Macaca mulatta: one gene and its partner. The protein of the gene in region 1 purifies or fractionates together with the protein of each later gene. This does not show direct contact. Links are inferred from orthologs where the notes say so. Each region holds a gene or a part of one and is shown in the gene's direction. Other genes may lie near its edges.

Region 1 (7,937 bases):
TCTCTAGTAAAAAATTCAAAAAAAAAAAAAAAAAAAAAAGAAAATAGGTTGGCCGGTTGCAGTGGCTCCTGCCTGTAATCCCGGCACGTTGGGAGGCCAAGGCGGGCAGATCACGAGGTCAGGAGATCGAGGCCATCCTGGCTAACACGGTGAAACCCCGTCTCTACTAAAAAATACAAAAAACTAGCCGGGTGTGGTAGTGGGCGCCTGTAGTCCCAGCTACTTGGGAGGCTGAGGCAGGAGAATGGCGTGAACCCGGGAAGTGGAGTTTTTCAGTGAGCCGAGATCGCACCACCGCACTCCAGCCTGGGCGACAGAGCAAGACTCCGTCTCAAAAAAAAAAATTAAGAAAATAGGTTTAGTTAGCTCGTGGTTCCACAAGCTTTACAGCAAGCACGGTGCTGGCATAGGCTCAGCTTCCAGGGATGCCTCAGGAAGCTTCCCATCATGGCGGAAATCAAAGGTGGAGCAGGCACGTCACATGGGGAAAAGAGGAGCGAGAGAGGGTGGGGGGAGGGAGGTGCCACACACTTTTTTTTTTCAAGATGGAGTTTCGCTATTGTTGCCCAGGCTGGAGTGCAATGGCGCGATCTCCGCTCACCGGAACCTCCGCCTCCCAGGTTCAAGCAATTCTCCTGCCTCAGCCTTCCCGAGTAGGTGGGATTACAGGAATGCGCCACCACGCCCGGGTAATTTTGTATTTTTAGTAGAGATGGGGTTTCTCCATGTTGGTCAGGCTGGTCTTGAACTCCGACCTCAGGTGATCCTCCCACCTTGGCCTCCCAAAGTGCTGGGATTACAGGCGTGAGCCACACGCCTGGCCACGACACACTCTCTTTTTTTTTTTTGAAACGGAGTCTCACTTTGTTGCCAGGCTGGAGTGCAGTGGCGCAATCTCGGCTCACTGCAACCTCTGCCTCCAGGGTTCAAATGATTCTCCTGCCTCAGTCTCCCAAGTAGCTGGGACCACAGGCGTGTGCCACCATGCCCAGCTACTTTTTTTTTTTTTCGGTATTTTTAGTAGAGACATGGTTTCACCGTGTTAGCCAGGATAGTCTCAATCTCCTGACCTCGTGATCTGCCTGCCTCGGCCTCCCAAAGTGGCAGGATTACAGGCGTTAGCCACCTCGCCTGGCCCCACCACATACTTTTAAATGACCAGATATTGGCTAGGCACGGTGGCTCATGCCTGTAATCTCAGCACTTTGAGAGGCCGAGGTGGGAGGATCCTCTGAGGTCAGGAGTTGGAGACCAGCCTGGCCAACATGGTGAAACCTTTTTTTTTTTTTTTTTTTGAGGCGGAGTCTTCACTCTGTCGCCCAGGCTGGAGTGCAGTGGCACCATCTCGGCTCACTGCAAGCTCCGCCTCCCAGGTTCGCGCCATTCTCCTGCCTCAGCCTCCCGAGTAGCTGGGACTACAGGCGCCCGCCACCGCGCCCGGCTAATTTTTTGTATTTTAGTAGAGACGGGGTTTCACCGTGTTAGCCAGGATGGTCTCGATCTCCTGACCTCGTGATCCGCCCGCCTCGGCCTCCCAAAGTGCTGGGATTACAGGCGTGAGCCACCGCGCCCGGCCGGTGAAACCTTATATCTACTAAAAATACCGGGTGTGGTGGTGGGCGCCTGTAATCCCAGCTACTTGGGAGGCTGAGGCAGGAGAATCGCTTGAACCCAGTAAGTGGAGGTTGCATTGAGCTAAGATCACGCCACTGCACTCCAGTCTTGGGAGGCAGAGCAAGATTCCATCTCAAAAGAAAAAAAAAAAAAAGGCCTGAACCAAAGCAATAGTAGTGGGAGTGGAATAAAGAGGAAGCATTTGAGAGGAAGAATTAATGTTAATCTCCTAAACACCTTACTCAATGCTTCCTAGGAATGTGTTAGGGGATTGTGGGAATAAAGAGCTGAAGTAGCATTTGCTCCTGTCCTCAAGTACCTCAAATCCTATAGAAGCAGACCTAAAAATAAAAACATACATGCAGGGAAGACCACATTTAGCATCACTGCAGCCAGTGTCACTGAGAGATCACTATGCTTGTGAAATCAGCAAATTAAGGCACCGTACATTTCCAAGTGCCTCTGTCATTTACCCCAAGGATCTTTTTTAAGTACCTAAATTGTTATTTTGGTTAAAACACACTACAGTATACATCTACACTTCACCAGTTTTTAAAGGCAGGGTAGTGAGGTTCAGACTGGGCCCATCTCTACCACTTGTCAACACATGATCTTGGGCAAGTTACCAAATTCTTTTAGCCCATGCTAACTATCACGTGAAGACGAATGAGACTGGAATGTTGGGGAGAGAGAGCATGATGGGGCTATAGGAGGGGGTATGATCAGATCCTGCAAGGCCATGTGAACTACCATAAAGGTTTTGGACTTTTCTTCTTTCTTTCTGCTTTTCTCTTTCTTCTTTCTCTTCTTTCTCTTCTTTTCCTTCTTCTCCTTCTCCTTCTTCTCTTTCGTTTAGAGATGGGGTGTCACTGTCACCCATGCCAGAGTGCAGTGGCATGATTGTAGATCACTGGACTACAGGTGTGCACCGCCACCCCTGGCTTGGATTTAGTATTCTAAGTTCAATGGGTTGTACTTTTTGTTCCAATTTATTATCACTTTTCTTTTTATTTTATTTTATTTTTTTTGAGACGGAGTCTCGCTCTGTCGCCCAGGCTGGAGTGCAGTGGCCGGATCTCAGCTCACTGCAAGCTCCGCCTCCCGGGTTCACGCCATTCTCCTGCCTCAGCCTCCCGAGTATCCGGGACTACAGGCGCCTGCCACCGCGCCCGGCTAGTTTTTTGTATATTTTTAGTAGAGACGGGGTTTCACCATGTTAGCCAGGATGGTCTCGATCTCCTGACCTTGTGATCCGCCCGTCTCGGCCTCCCAAAGTGCAGGGATTACAGGCTTGAGCCACCGCGCCCGGCCTATTATCACTTTTCAATTGGGATATAATGTCTACAAATAAATGCAAAAATCTTGCCCTGAGTTCAATTAGTTTGGACACTTGTATACGTCAATGTTATACCACCGAAAAGAATATACAGAACATTTCCATCATCGCAGAAAAGTCCCAACTGTTCCTTTCCTGTCAATTCTCCTTGTCTCCGGAACACTTAAGGGTGCTAAGCATATTATGTTTGCGGTGGTTTTTTTTTTTTTTTTTAACTTAGAAGATGTGGTAATATATGTTTGCGTTCCCAAAGGATCACTCTGCTGCTGTGCGGAGGACAGCAAGGCGGGTAAAGCACAGGCCAGGCGAGGGATAATCAGGCAGTATTGCACGGAGGTCGCCTAGCAACCAGAAAGCGCCGTCGGGAGCTGGGAAAACGCTCTGCTCCTGTGAAAGGAGGAGGCCCCGCCCCCCCCCGCCCTCTCTCCGCCCCACGCAGTGCGCGGGTACACGCTCTGTGCGCCTCGGACGGACAGAGGCTTCTTATTGGTGGGTTTTCCGGAAGCGATGGATTCGGAATCTCGCCCGCAGCCACGCAAAACCGAGCGGCTGTGTGCGGTGCGTGGTGCGCGGTACGTGCGGCGGCACGTGGCGCGGGTGCGGGGCGTGGCGTGGCGGGGTCGCGCGGCGCGGGCGCGCACCCGGAGCTCTGAACAGAGAGCGCCTCCTTCTGGCCTCGGTTTCCTCCCGTTGTAGTAGCGGAGCATGGCCCGGACCGGGCACCCGAGACCGCCCCGTGCAGCCTCACTGCCAGCCTGGGGGCCTCAGCGACCGCGACGGGACCAAGGGGCTCGGGGATCCTCTCCGCCCCCGGCCCTGGTGCTTGACTGACCCTCCCGTTCCCAGAGCCCCCAGCGCAGACCGGGATGTTTGTCCTGGTGGAGATGGTGGACACGGTGCGGATCCCCCCTTGGCAGTTTGAGAGGAAGCTCAACGACTCCATTGCCGAGGAGCTGAACAAGAAGTTGGCCAACAAGGTACTGGGCCCACGGCTCGCGGGCAGGCCTTGGCGCGGGAGAGCCAGCGCCGCCCACCGGCCGCAGGCCTGGCCTCCGTCATGCCAAGCCCTGGCCGTGGGCAAGCGGCTTAATGTCTCAGAACTTCTGTTCACCGTGAAACAGGATGTTGAAGGGGATCAAAAGAAAATGGGCTTAAAAAAGGGAGTTGTAACTGGAAGTGTCAGACTCTACAATTCTAAATTACTTTGCAATTGCAAGCAAGTTAACCCCTCTGGGCCTCAGTTTCCATTTGTAAAATGGGGATAAAATGTTGCTGTCCTTCCAGCCATGCATTGGTTTTTTGTTGTTTTTGTTTTGTTTCGTTTCGTTTTTTTTTTTTTTTTCTTTCCCCGAGACGGAGTCTTGCTCTGTCGCCCAGGCTGGAGTGCAGTGGCGCAATCTCGGCTCACTGCAAACCTCCGCCTCCTGGGTTCAAGCAATTCTCCTGCCTCAGCCTCCCGAGTAGCTAGGACGACTACAGGCACGCGCCTCCATGCCCAGCTAATTTTTGTATTTGTATTTGTATTTAGTTTTATTTTTATTATTTACTTATTTATTTGAGATGGAGTCTCGCTCTGTCGCCCAGGCTGGAGTGCAGTGGCGCGATCTCGGAACACTGCAAGCTCTGCCTCATGGATTCACGCCATTCTCCTGCCTCAGCCTCCCAAGTAGCTGGGGCTACAGGGGCCCGCCACCACGCCCGGCTAATTTTTTTTGGATTTTTAGTAGAGACGGGGTTTCACCATGTTAGCCTGGTTGGTCTCGATCTCCTGACCTCGTGATCCGCCGCCTCGGCCTCCCAAAGTGCTGGGATTACAGACGTGAGCCACCGTGCCCGGCCAATTTTTGTATTTTTAGTAGAGACGGGGTTTCTCCATGTGGCCAGGATGGTCTCGATCTCTTGATCTCCCCACCTTGGCCTCCCAAAGTGCTGGGATTACAAGCGTGAGCCACCGCTCTGGGCCAGTGCATTGTTTTTGTGAAGATGAACAGTTCTAGTAGTACAGAGTTAACTGTCAGGAGGTTCATCCCTTCATTCTAGCAGCCAATATTTGTGCGCCATCTCTGCGCCGTGCCTATGTGCCTTAGTGCCAGCTGAGAGGTCCTCCCACTGCCATTTCTCTGGCAGTCCTCCCTTTCCAGGTGTTCTGTGTCGCATCAGTCTTTCCATCTTAGACTTTTTCCTTTCCCTCTCTTTGAGAGCAGGGACTTATCTGTCTTCTTCCCTGAAGTATCCCCTCACTTAGCCAGAGCCTGGCACCAGTAGATGTTCCATAATTTTATGTTTTTTTGTTTGTTTGTTTGTTTGTTTGTTATTTAAACAGAGTCCCGCTCTTGTCGCCCAGGCTGGGGTGCAGTGGTGCAATCTTGGCTCACTGCAACCTCCACCTCCTGGGTTCAAGCTATTCTTCTGCCTCAGCCTCTTGAGTAGCTGGGATTACAGGTGCCTTCCACCACGCCCGGCTAATTTTTGTACTTTTAGTAGAGACAGGGTTTCGCCATGTTGGCCAGGCTGGTCTCAAACTCCTGACCTCAGGTGATCTGCCTGCCTCAGCCTCCCATAGTGCTGGGATTACAGGCGTGAGCCACTGCGCCCAGCCATTTGTCTGTTGAATGAAACAGAGGCAAGGCTCTGAGCTATAGTGTGCTGGGAAAAGCAGATATGAATGAGAGGGGTCCATAGTTGAGGGTGTGGTGACAAATTGAGGTAAATGCTATGAGGGACAGATGTTCACACACCTGTGGGAACAAAGGACCATCCCCTGGAATGAGGGAACCTGCGGCTTTGGTGAGGAGGTGGGGTTGGAACTGAGATCTGATGGTGAAGTAGAGCCAACCAGAGGATTCCTTTCTGGGGTGGGAGGGGCTGGGTGGAGAGAAGAGCCCTGAAGGCAGGAACTGGCATGTGCACAGGCCCTGTGAAGAAGGAATACAGACAGGGCATGGTGGCTCACACCTGTAATCCCAACACTTTGAGAGGTTGAGGCTGGTGGATCACCCGAGGTCAGGAGTTCGAGACCAGCTTGTCCAACATGGTGAAACCCCATCTCTACTAAAAATACAAAAAGTAGCTGTAGCTGGGCATGGTGGCGGGCGCCTGTAATCCCAGCTACTTGAGAGGCAGAGGGAGGAGAATCACTTGAACCCAGGAGGCGGAGGTTGCAGTGAACTGAAATCGTGCCATTGCCCTCCAGCCTGGGTGACAAGAGTGAAACTTTGCCTCAAAAAAAAAAAAAAAAAAAAGAAGAAGAAAGAAGAAGGGGTACAACACCCACCATGGTGTGGAAGAGGCTGGTGTGGCTTGGGCATAGGGAAGGGTAGGCTGGAAAGGTGGGTGGGGGCCAGGCCACACAGCCCTGTAGGATGAGGTACTGGTCTTTATCCATGGAGCATCAGGAGGTGATGGACTGAGAAGGAGCCAGAAAGAGGAAGCTCAGCTTCCTGAGGCAGTCCCTTCAGAAGAGGTGAGGTTGATTTGAAGGTTGTTAGGTGGTGAAGGGAACTCATGGAGTCTTTAAGTGGATGGCTGCTAGTTACTTTGTGAGGTTGAAGGTGAGGGTCTGTTGGGGGATGAGGTACGGACCTTGTGGAGAGAGAAGGGGTAGAAAGTCCAAGAAGGGAATGGAGTCCCTTTGGAGTACAGGTCCTGTTGGGACAAGTCTTATAGTAGTCAATTAGATGAATCATTTGAGAGGAAGCCCAAACAGAAATCCATGGTCTGACAAAGGGCATGGATCTTGTGGCCTTATCTTGGTGAGGTTTGGCCACAACTCTGAGTTCTCTGAGCTTCTTGCTAATTCTTGGACAGTTCCTGCAAGGGTTCTAAGTGGGGGTGATGACATGGTGGCAGATAAGCAGACACTGAGTAGCCAGTTGTTTGAACCACCATGGTGTGGGGTGGGGGCATGGGATTTCTGCACATTCTTGGGGCCTAGGTCATGTGTCCCTCTGCCAGCTGCAGTCCCTGTGGCTGCATCTGTGTGTCTAAGATGTTGTGAGCACAATGGTTCTGACGCTTACCAAACTGTGAGCTCTGGCATTGGCTTTGGGATGTCGGAGACTGCACGTTTAGCTAGCATTCCTGTCACTGGTCCTCACTAGTAATAACAAAGATCCTCAATGATGATTGTTTTCAGCGCACGAGCCAGGCACTAGGCTAGGGGCTTCACATCTGTTATCTCTCTTTATTTTATAATCCTGCCGCCTGGTATTTCCCATTCTCTGATGGGGAGACTGAGGCTCAGAGAGGTGAAGTGACCCTCTTGGCAGTCACACAGTGGGTGGTAGAGCTGGCCTTGGAACCTGGACCTGTTTTGTCACCTGAGGCCCTGCTCCTTCCAGATCTCTGCATCGTTCTGAGGTTCCTTATCCTGGTTTCCTCCACAAACTCATTTTCACCTTAAAAAGGAGATAATCATGGCTTGCTTGCGGTTGTGAGGGGTTCAGACTGCCTGGGAGCTGGGCCTGTGGTCACTCTGTGTCCATGTGTACTTGTGTGTCTATGTTTGTATGCATGCAGGTCGTGTACAGCGTGGGACTCTGCATATGTCTGTTTGATATCACCAAACTGGAGGATGCCTATGTATTCCCTGGGGATGGCGCATCACACACCAAAGGTGGGTATCTTCTGTCCCTGGGGCATTGGGTTTCTTGGGGCTCAGTTTTCTGTAGCAAAAGTTCAAGCCAAAGCCAGGTTCAGTGGTGTGTGCCTGTAAGGCTGAGGGCGGAAGGATCTCTTGAGCCACAGAGTTCAAGGCCAGTCTGGGCAACATAGTAAGACCCTGTCTTTAAATAAATAAATAAATAAATAAATAAAGTATTTAAAAATTTTAAAAGGTTAAAGCCAAAGAGATGGCCAGAGGGTGCTGGGAGTCCTGGAGGTTGAGAGACCTGGGGCCTCATCCTGAATTGGCCAGGAATTGACCCGGTGACAGCGGCAGACTTATCTTCTCTGGGCCTCTGTTTCCTCATCTGTGAGGCCTGGGATG
Region 2 (7,837 bases), on another chromosome or scaffold:
TCTACGAAAAGTTAAAAAAAATTAGCCAGGTGTGGTGGCGCACACCTGTGGTCCCAGCTATTCAGGAGACTAAGGTGAGAGGATTGCTTGAGCCCAGAATTTCAAGGCTGCAATTAGCTATGATAGTGCCACTGTACTCCAGCCTGGGTGACCGAGCAAGACCCTGTCTTTAAAAAAAAAAAAAAAAAAGCAAATGGCCAGGCACAGTGGCTCACACCTGTAATCCCAGTACTTTGGGAGGCCGAGGTGGGTGGATCACCTGAGGTCAGGAGTTTGTGACCAGCTTGGCCAACATGGCCCTGTCTCTACTAAATACACAAAAATTAACTGGGTGTGGTGGCATGAGCCTGTAATCCCAGCTACTCGGGAGGCTGAGGCAGAGAATCGCTTGAACCTGGGAGGTGGCAGTTGTAGTGAGCCGAGATTGCGCTACTGCGCTCCAACCTGGGTGACAAGAGCGAAACTCCATCTCAAGAAAACAAAAAGAAATAAAGGTTTCACTTACAGTGGAAAGCGCAAAGGACTTGAGTGAGAAGTTCCCTATATCAACACTAGAGCCATTTTTTCTCCCTGGGTCCAGAAAACAGTCCCAGTGTCCGACATTTATTACCATTCACTTGGGAGCCAGGTGTCTTTTGGAGGCTGAAACCTCACCTCTTCAGTTACGCCTGAGCAGTGATTTGCTGTGGCCCTCTGATGACTGCCTGCTGACTCAGAGGCTCAGTGAGGAAATGAGGTGGCCACCCGGCTTAGGACTTGTCGTGCCCAGTTGTGTATTGATTTGGAATGATTTGTGAGCCCTCTGGGCTGAGGTCAGTGAATCCTGTGACCTCACAGGCCACTGTCCTGAACAGCACTACCATCTAGGCCTGTTAGTAATTTCGTGATTATGAAGTCTGGACTCATATAGAGTGTTATTGCTTGTAAAACACTGTTACATATGTTCTCCTTTTGTCCTTGCTGTAGGCGTTACTTTCATTTTACATTAGAGAAAATTGAAATTTAGAAAACCAGGTTTAGTTAACTGTTCTGGATCAAATATTTAATAGTGTACGTTGTTGCTCTCAGATCTTTGACTCATTTTGAGGAAAGTAGGACATTAGGTTTGGCAACTTCGAGTTGCCATTTTTGGAGATCAGCGACCCAGTTTGATGCTCCTGGGACTGAAATAATGAAAGTTTATCATTTGTGTTAACTCAGCTATCGATACTTCAGACTTTTATGTTTATTTGTCCTTATGTTCTGAACTACCTGAAATGATTGGTATCTGAGAACCTTGAGATGGTGCTTTGAACTTTACTCTTGGAATGTTTCTCCTCTGTTGGAAAGAAAAGGTGAAGGGTCAGGCATAGTGATTCATGCCTGTAATCCCAGCACTTTGGCAGGCTAATGTGGGAGGATCGCTTGAGCCCAGGAGTTCAAGACCAGCCTGGGCAACCCCATCTCTACAAAAAATAATAAAAAATAATTAGCTGGACATGGTGCCACATAGCTATAGTCCCAGCTACTCAGGAGGCTGAGGCAGGAGGATTGCTTGAGCCCAGGAGTTTGAGGCTGCAGTAAGTGATGATTGCGCCAGTATGCTACAGCCTGAGTGACAGAGTAAGACCCACTCTCTTTGGGAAAAGAAAAGGCGGGGGTGAGGGATAATGTAGGCATTGTCATTTACGCTAGTGATCCAAGAGGTGCTAGTGTTTTATTTCTGAAAGTTTCTTTTTGTTTATATTTCATTTAGTTTAATGCAGTGTAGGGTTTCTTCCTGTGACTGGGAACCTTAGGTTGAAAAACAAAAGGTCCTGACTATAATTAACCCTGAGGATTGGATGTTGATAAAAGGTTCGGCTGTTAGTGAATTTAGCAAAGTTTTTTTCTGCACATTCTTTCCTCAAACGGAGATCATCTTTTCTCTGGATTAAATAACCAAATCTTGGCTATTTTCCTCCTTTCTCTGCTTTATTCTTTGGGGGCAGTACATGTTAGATTACTGCTTTTTATAGACTGTAACTTTGCATGTCTAATTTTAAACATGGCTTTTTGGCCGGGCATGGTGTCTAACTCCTATAATCCCAGCACTTTGGGAGGCCGAGGCTAGTGGATCGCCTGAGGTCAGGAGTTCAAGACCAGACTAACCAACATGGAGAAACCCTGTCTCTACTAAAAATACAAAACTATCCGGGCGTGGTGGTGCATGCCTGTAATTCCAGCTACTAGGGAGCCGAGATCACCCCATTGCACTCTAGCCTGGGCAACAAGAGTTAAACTGTCTCAGAAAAAAAAAGGGGGGGGCAGGGGTTGAAGATTGTTTCTTTCTCCCAAGAGAATTTACATTTTCCTGAGCCATGGAATCTTTAGAAAATGGTCATTTTATTTCACAGTGTCATAGGGAGTAGCCCCCATTGATTCGCTCAGGATCCCCCCGCCCCATCCTGGGACACCAGAATTATTATCTAGTTGCAGAAACACTTTTGGGCTGAAGTGAGTGGAGAGACCAGGGTTTTGCCAGGAGTTCGTGGTGTGACCTTGGGCATGTCACATGACTTCCTGAACTGTGCTGTTGTCTGTAAAGTGAGGTGGTCAGACTGGGATCCTCTCCAGGATTGCAGGCCTGTCCTATTACCTTGTTTTACTTCAGTCTGCCAGGATTTCTTTCTGGAACTCCCTGTGGTTCCATTTGCCGAATTTCAGAGATTGCTGTGGGGAATGCTGTGGAATAGGACCTGGCCACCTTGAGCTGAGAAAGGTGTTTGTGATCGATGGTTGATGCCACCAAGCAAACAGGGTTAAGTAACTTGACTGCCTGCATGCTGCTTTTAAAAAGGCAGCTGACGACCTAATTCTGCTTAGAATTAGGGGCTCAGGCTGTGCGTATCATCTCTAGATTCAGATTTCTGGGACCACATCAGAAACCAGGTTTTGCGTGGACCTTTGATGGGCAGTGTGGTGTGGAGTGTGGGAGACTGTGGGTTTTAGACTGGGCAGGCCTGGCTGGGGATTCCAGTTCTACCTCTTGGCAGCATTGCTGAGAGGATGAAAGGAAATGCTGGACGGGAAGTGCAAGATGCAGCTCCAGGCACACGGGAGGCCTCCCCGCAGGGCTGTTGCTAGTGGGAGTGAGGATTAGAAGAAGGCTCCAGCCAGGCGCGGTGGCTCAAGCCTGTAATCCCAGCACTTTGGGAGGCCGAGACGGGCGGATCACGAGATCAGGAGATCGAGACCATCCTGGCTAACACAGTGAAACCCCGTCTCTACTAAAAAAATACAAAAAACTAGCCGGGCGTGGCGGCGGACGCTTGTAGTCCCAGCTACTCCAGAGGCTGAGGCAGGAGAATGGTGTGAACCCGGGAGGCGAAGCTTGCAGTGAGCTGAGATCCGGCCACTGCACTCCAGCCTGGGCGACAAAGCGAGACTCTGTCTCAAAAAAAAAAAAAAAAGAAGGCTCCAAACCATTTGGCACACAGTGGGCATCATCAACGATGTTGATGTTCATTAAATTACAGCTGTGTGCCGGGCGCGGTGGCTCACACTGTAATCCCAGCATTTTGGGAGGCCAAGGCGGGTGGATCACGAGGTCAAGATATTGAGACCATCCTGGCTAACATGGTGAAACCCCGTCTCTACTAAAAAAATACAAAAAACTAGCCGGGCGTGGCGGCGGACGCTTGTAGTCCCAGCTACTCCAGAGGCTGAGGCAGGAGAATGGTGTGAACCCGGGAGGCGAAGCTTGCAGTGAGCTGAGATCCGGCCACTGCACTCCAGCCTGGGCGACAAAGCGAGACTCTGTCTCAAAAAAAAAAAAAAAGAAGGCTCCAAACCATTTGGCACACAGTGGGCATCATCAACGATGTTGATGTTCATTAAATTACAGCTGTGTGCCGGGCGCGGTGGCTCACACTGTAATCCCAGCATTTTGGGAGGCCAAGGCGGGTGGATCACGAGGTCAAGATATTGAGACCATCCTGGCTAACATGGTGAAACCCCGTCTCTACTAAAAATACAAACAGTTAACTGGGCGTGGTGGCTCGCACCTGTAGTCCCAGCTACTCGGGAGACTGAGGCTGGAGAATTGCTGGAACCCGAGAGGCGGAGGTTGCAGTGAGCCAAGATCGCGCCACTGCACTCCAGCCTGGCACAGAGCAAGACTCCATCCCAAAAAAAAAAAAAAAAAAAATTACAGATGTGCTTGTGAAATATAAAAGTACATAAAGTGCCATATAACTTCTCAGAGATGCATATGCAACCTGTTGACTTCTCTCTGTGCGTGTCAGTGGTTGTATAACTGTTAGCGTTTTCCTTTTTTTTTTTTTTTTTTTTTTGAGAGTTGATCTTGCTCTGTCACCCAGGTTGGAGTGCTTGGCTCAACCTGGGCTCAAGTGATCCTCCTACTTCAGACCCCCGAGTAGCTGGGACTACTGGCACACACCACCATGCCTGGCTGATTATTATTATTATTATTTTTTAAGAGATGGGGTTCCTCTATGCTGCCCAGGCTGGGAGTTTTCCTTTTCTTTAAAGAAAAATGCTATCCTACAACTCAGTTTTTACTGACCCATTTTGATCAGTCGCATTGGCTCAGTCCAGGATGTGAGTTGGCTCCACCCTTCCATCTGGAAGATGGAGAGGACTCACGAGGACCCAGGCCGTGAGATCTGTGTGCCAGGAGGCCGGGCTGAGACTGTGAGCACAGTGGGCAGGGCTGCCCAGGACTGTGAGTTTCATTTGTAACCCTGGAGGATTTTCTTTCCTTCTGCAGATGGTGGAAGAGAGTGAAGAGCGGCTCACGGAGGAGCAGATTGAAGCTCTTCTCCACACTGTCACCAGCATTCTGCCTGCAGGGCCAGAGGCTGAGCAGAAGAAGAAGACCAACAGCGACGTGGCAATGGACGAAGAGGACCCAGCGTAGAAGAGCACAGCTGGCCCTGGCATTTCATGACGTCAGAAGGCCCAGCAGCCATTTCCTGGATGTTGAGAGGATTGTTTATTTGATTATACCCTCTATCCCGGCAGGCCTGGCTGGCTTCGTGGTTAGTTGGGTACATCACAAAAATAAGCTAAAAAGAAATATTTGTGCCTTGGGGAGAAGAAACATGGTGAAGACAGGCTGAGGTTGTCAGGGCAGAGAGCTGAAGGTGGGGACAGTGACCGTGGACCCCTCTGTGCTTGAAAGATTTCCTCCACAGCCTTTGCCCCAGTTGTGGGGAGGTCTCTATACACAGCGGGGAAAATGCTTGTGTCTTCTTTGGTGGGCCATGTCCTAATTAGTTTCATCTGCTTCCCTGGGAACTTACTAAACAGGGGCTCAGAGCACTGTTGGGAATCTGGTTAGAACCCCAGAGAGTTACTCTAAGTTAAAATGAGTCACTGACCTTGGCTCACCTTAGAGGAATTTCCTCGAGAACAACTGAGATAAGAAAAGAACCGGCCTGGCCAATCCTTCAACAGCTCTAGAGCCCCTTTTCTCTGCTGGCAGGGGCTTTGTTTACCAGCTCACTGTTTAGGCTAAATGTTAGGGACCAGATCACTGCAGTTGAAAACAGGCATTCCAGGCTTAGTGACAGTGGCAGCAGAAACAGTGTTGGCTGCCTTCCTGACCACCCCACTTTCCTGCCCTGAGACAGCAGCCCAGGGCAGGTGCTTCATATTGAGACCAGGTGAGCCTCATTTGCACAACAGTCAAATTGTTTGCTCCTTTAAAAAGGACACAATTAGCCTGGCCCAGTGGCTTATGCTTATAATCCCAGCACTTTGGGAGGCCAAGGCAGGAGGATCACCTGAGGTCAGGAGTTTGAGACCAGCCTGACCAACATGGAGAAACCCTATCTCTACTAAAAAAAAATACAAAATTAGCCGGGCATGGTGGTGCATGCCTGTAATCGCAGCTATTCGGGAGGCAGAGGCAGGAGAATCACTTGAACCCGGGAGGCGGAGGTTGCAGTGAGCTGAGATTGCACTATTGCACTCCAGCCTGGGCAACAAGAGGGAAACTTCATCTCAAAAAAAATAAGTAAGATTATTACCATGTGAAAACCTTTTTAATATTCAGGAATTCAGGATTTGGAAAGTGTAGTTGCCCCAGGCATGTGGTTGTTGCCTTAGGTCCTGCGAATATTGCTGAAAATTGGATTTTCCACATTCACTGTCTTCCCTGTTTTAGGGAAGAAAATGATCGTAGACATTCGATTTTCCAAATTGGTAGTCTTTCATTTTCAATGCTAATGGGATTACTTCTCTTCCAACCCTCCTGCCCATCCATCCGTCCCACTCCCCAGGCAATTGATTGCAGTTCCGTGCATCTTAACCGTACTATCTGGGATTCAGCTGAAATCTGTTTATAGGCAACATTGAAAGTACCAGATTAGGGTCAGGTGTGGTGGCCCACACCTGTAATCCCTAGCACTTTGGGAGGTGGAGGCGGGCGGATAATGAGGTCAGGAGTTCAAGACCAGCCTGGCCAACATAGTGAAACCCCTTCGCTACTAAAGATACAAAAAAATCAGCCGAGTGTGGTGGTGCACGCCTGTGATCCCAGCTACTCAGGAGGCTGAGGCAGGGGAATCGCTTGAACCCGCGAGGCAGAGGTTGCAGTGAGCCAAGATCGCACATTGCACTCCAGCCTGGCCAACAGGGCGAGACTCCATCTCAAAAAAAATGAATGAAAGTACCAGATTGTACTTGTAAATCTCTCTAGGGTATTGGGAATTTTACTGGGAGCTGTTGATTTATTTCTCAGGGCATATGTGTGCTGTGTGCCGATCTGTCTCATTATTGTCTTTTTTTTTTTTTTTTTTTTTGAGACAGTCTCGCTGTATTGCCCAGGAGTGCAGTGGCACAATCTCAGCTCACTGCAACCTCTCCCTCCCAGATTCAAGCGATTCTGGTGCCTCAGCCTCCTGAGTAGCTGGGACTACAGGCATGCGCCACTATACCCTGCTAATATCTGTATTTTTAGTAGAGATAGGGTTTTGCCATATTGGTCAGGCTGGTCGTAATGTCTCTTGTTAACACTGAATATGTTAGGTGGTTTTTCTCGATGGATTTAGGGTTAACCTAGTTAATAATAAATTGTTTCCAGGTAATTATCAAGTTTTGTCATCTTATAAATCTGAAGAGTTAATATTGTCATGGATACAAATAAAGTGAAATCTGACTGAAGCTAAAATGTGTGATTTTTTTCTTAAAAAACTGACTTTATTTAGATCTACATTTTTAATTGGATTTCAAGAAAAGTTTAAGTTTCTATATTTGAGACCTGAATTTAGCCTCAGTTTTTTGTTAAACCAGGTTCTGGAAGACTTAATTTTATAAGAAATGCACATATATTCCGTGTAATTTTCCTACCACATTAATAGTAAATGTTTCAGAAATAAAAATTGACCAGGCTGTGGCTCACGCCTGTAATCCCAGCACTTTGGGAGGCCAAGAGGGGTGGATCACGAGGTCAGGAATTCAAGACCAGCGTGGCCAACATGGCGAAACCCCGTCTCTACTAAAAATGCAAAAATTAGCCGGGCGTGGTGGCAGGTGCCTGTAATCCCAGCTACTTGGGAGGTTGAGGCAGGAGAATTGCTTGAATCAGGGAGGCGGAGGTTTCAGTGAGCCAAGATCGTGCCACTGTACTCCAGCCTGGGTAGCACAGTGAGACTCCGTCTCAAAAAAAAAAAATTAAAACAACTGAATTCATGGAGGTAGAGATTTGAAGAATGGTTATCAGAGACTAGGAAGGGTAGTGGGGGTTGGGAGGGATGGCTAATGGATACAACAATATAATTAGAAGGAATAAGATCTAGTATTTGATAGCACAACAGGGTGACTACAATCAACAATGATTTATTATACTTTG

The links. Proteins that work in one complex are often made in the same cells at the same time.
Region 2: the proteins of POLR3H (region 1) and CRCP purify together in Homo sapiens (affinity purification with mass spectrometry; 4 studies listed by BioGRID and IntAct, with this or other methods). This does not show direct contact. The link is inferred for Macaca mulatta from reciprocal best matches to the Homo sapiens genes POLR3H and CRCP.

Annotation. Positions count from the first base shown.
Region 1 is NC_133415.1:9,956,915-9,964,851, forward strand, and holds the start of POLR3H (DNA-directed RNA polymerase III subunit RPC8), read left to right. Parts: upstream 1-3,404; 5' UTR 3,405-3,522; intron 3,523-3,642; exon of another isoform or gene 3,643-3,796; 5' UTR 3,797-3,816; coding exon 3,817-3,927; intron 3,928-7,468; coding exon 7,469-7,565; intron 7,566-7,892; exon of another isoform or gene 7,893-7,937.
Region 2 is NC_133408.1:58,875,715-58,883,551, reverse strand, and holds the end of CRCP (DNA-directed RNA polymerase III subunit RPC9), read left to right. Parts: intron 1-4,750; coding exon 4,751-4,900; coding exon of another isoform or gene 4,901-5,102; 3' UTR 5,103-7,149; downstream 7,150-7,837. UniProt on the Homo sapiens protein: DNA-dependent RNA polymerase catalyzes the transcription of DNA into RNA using the four ribonucleoside triphosphates as substrates.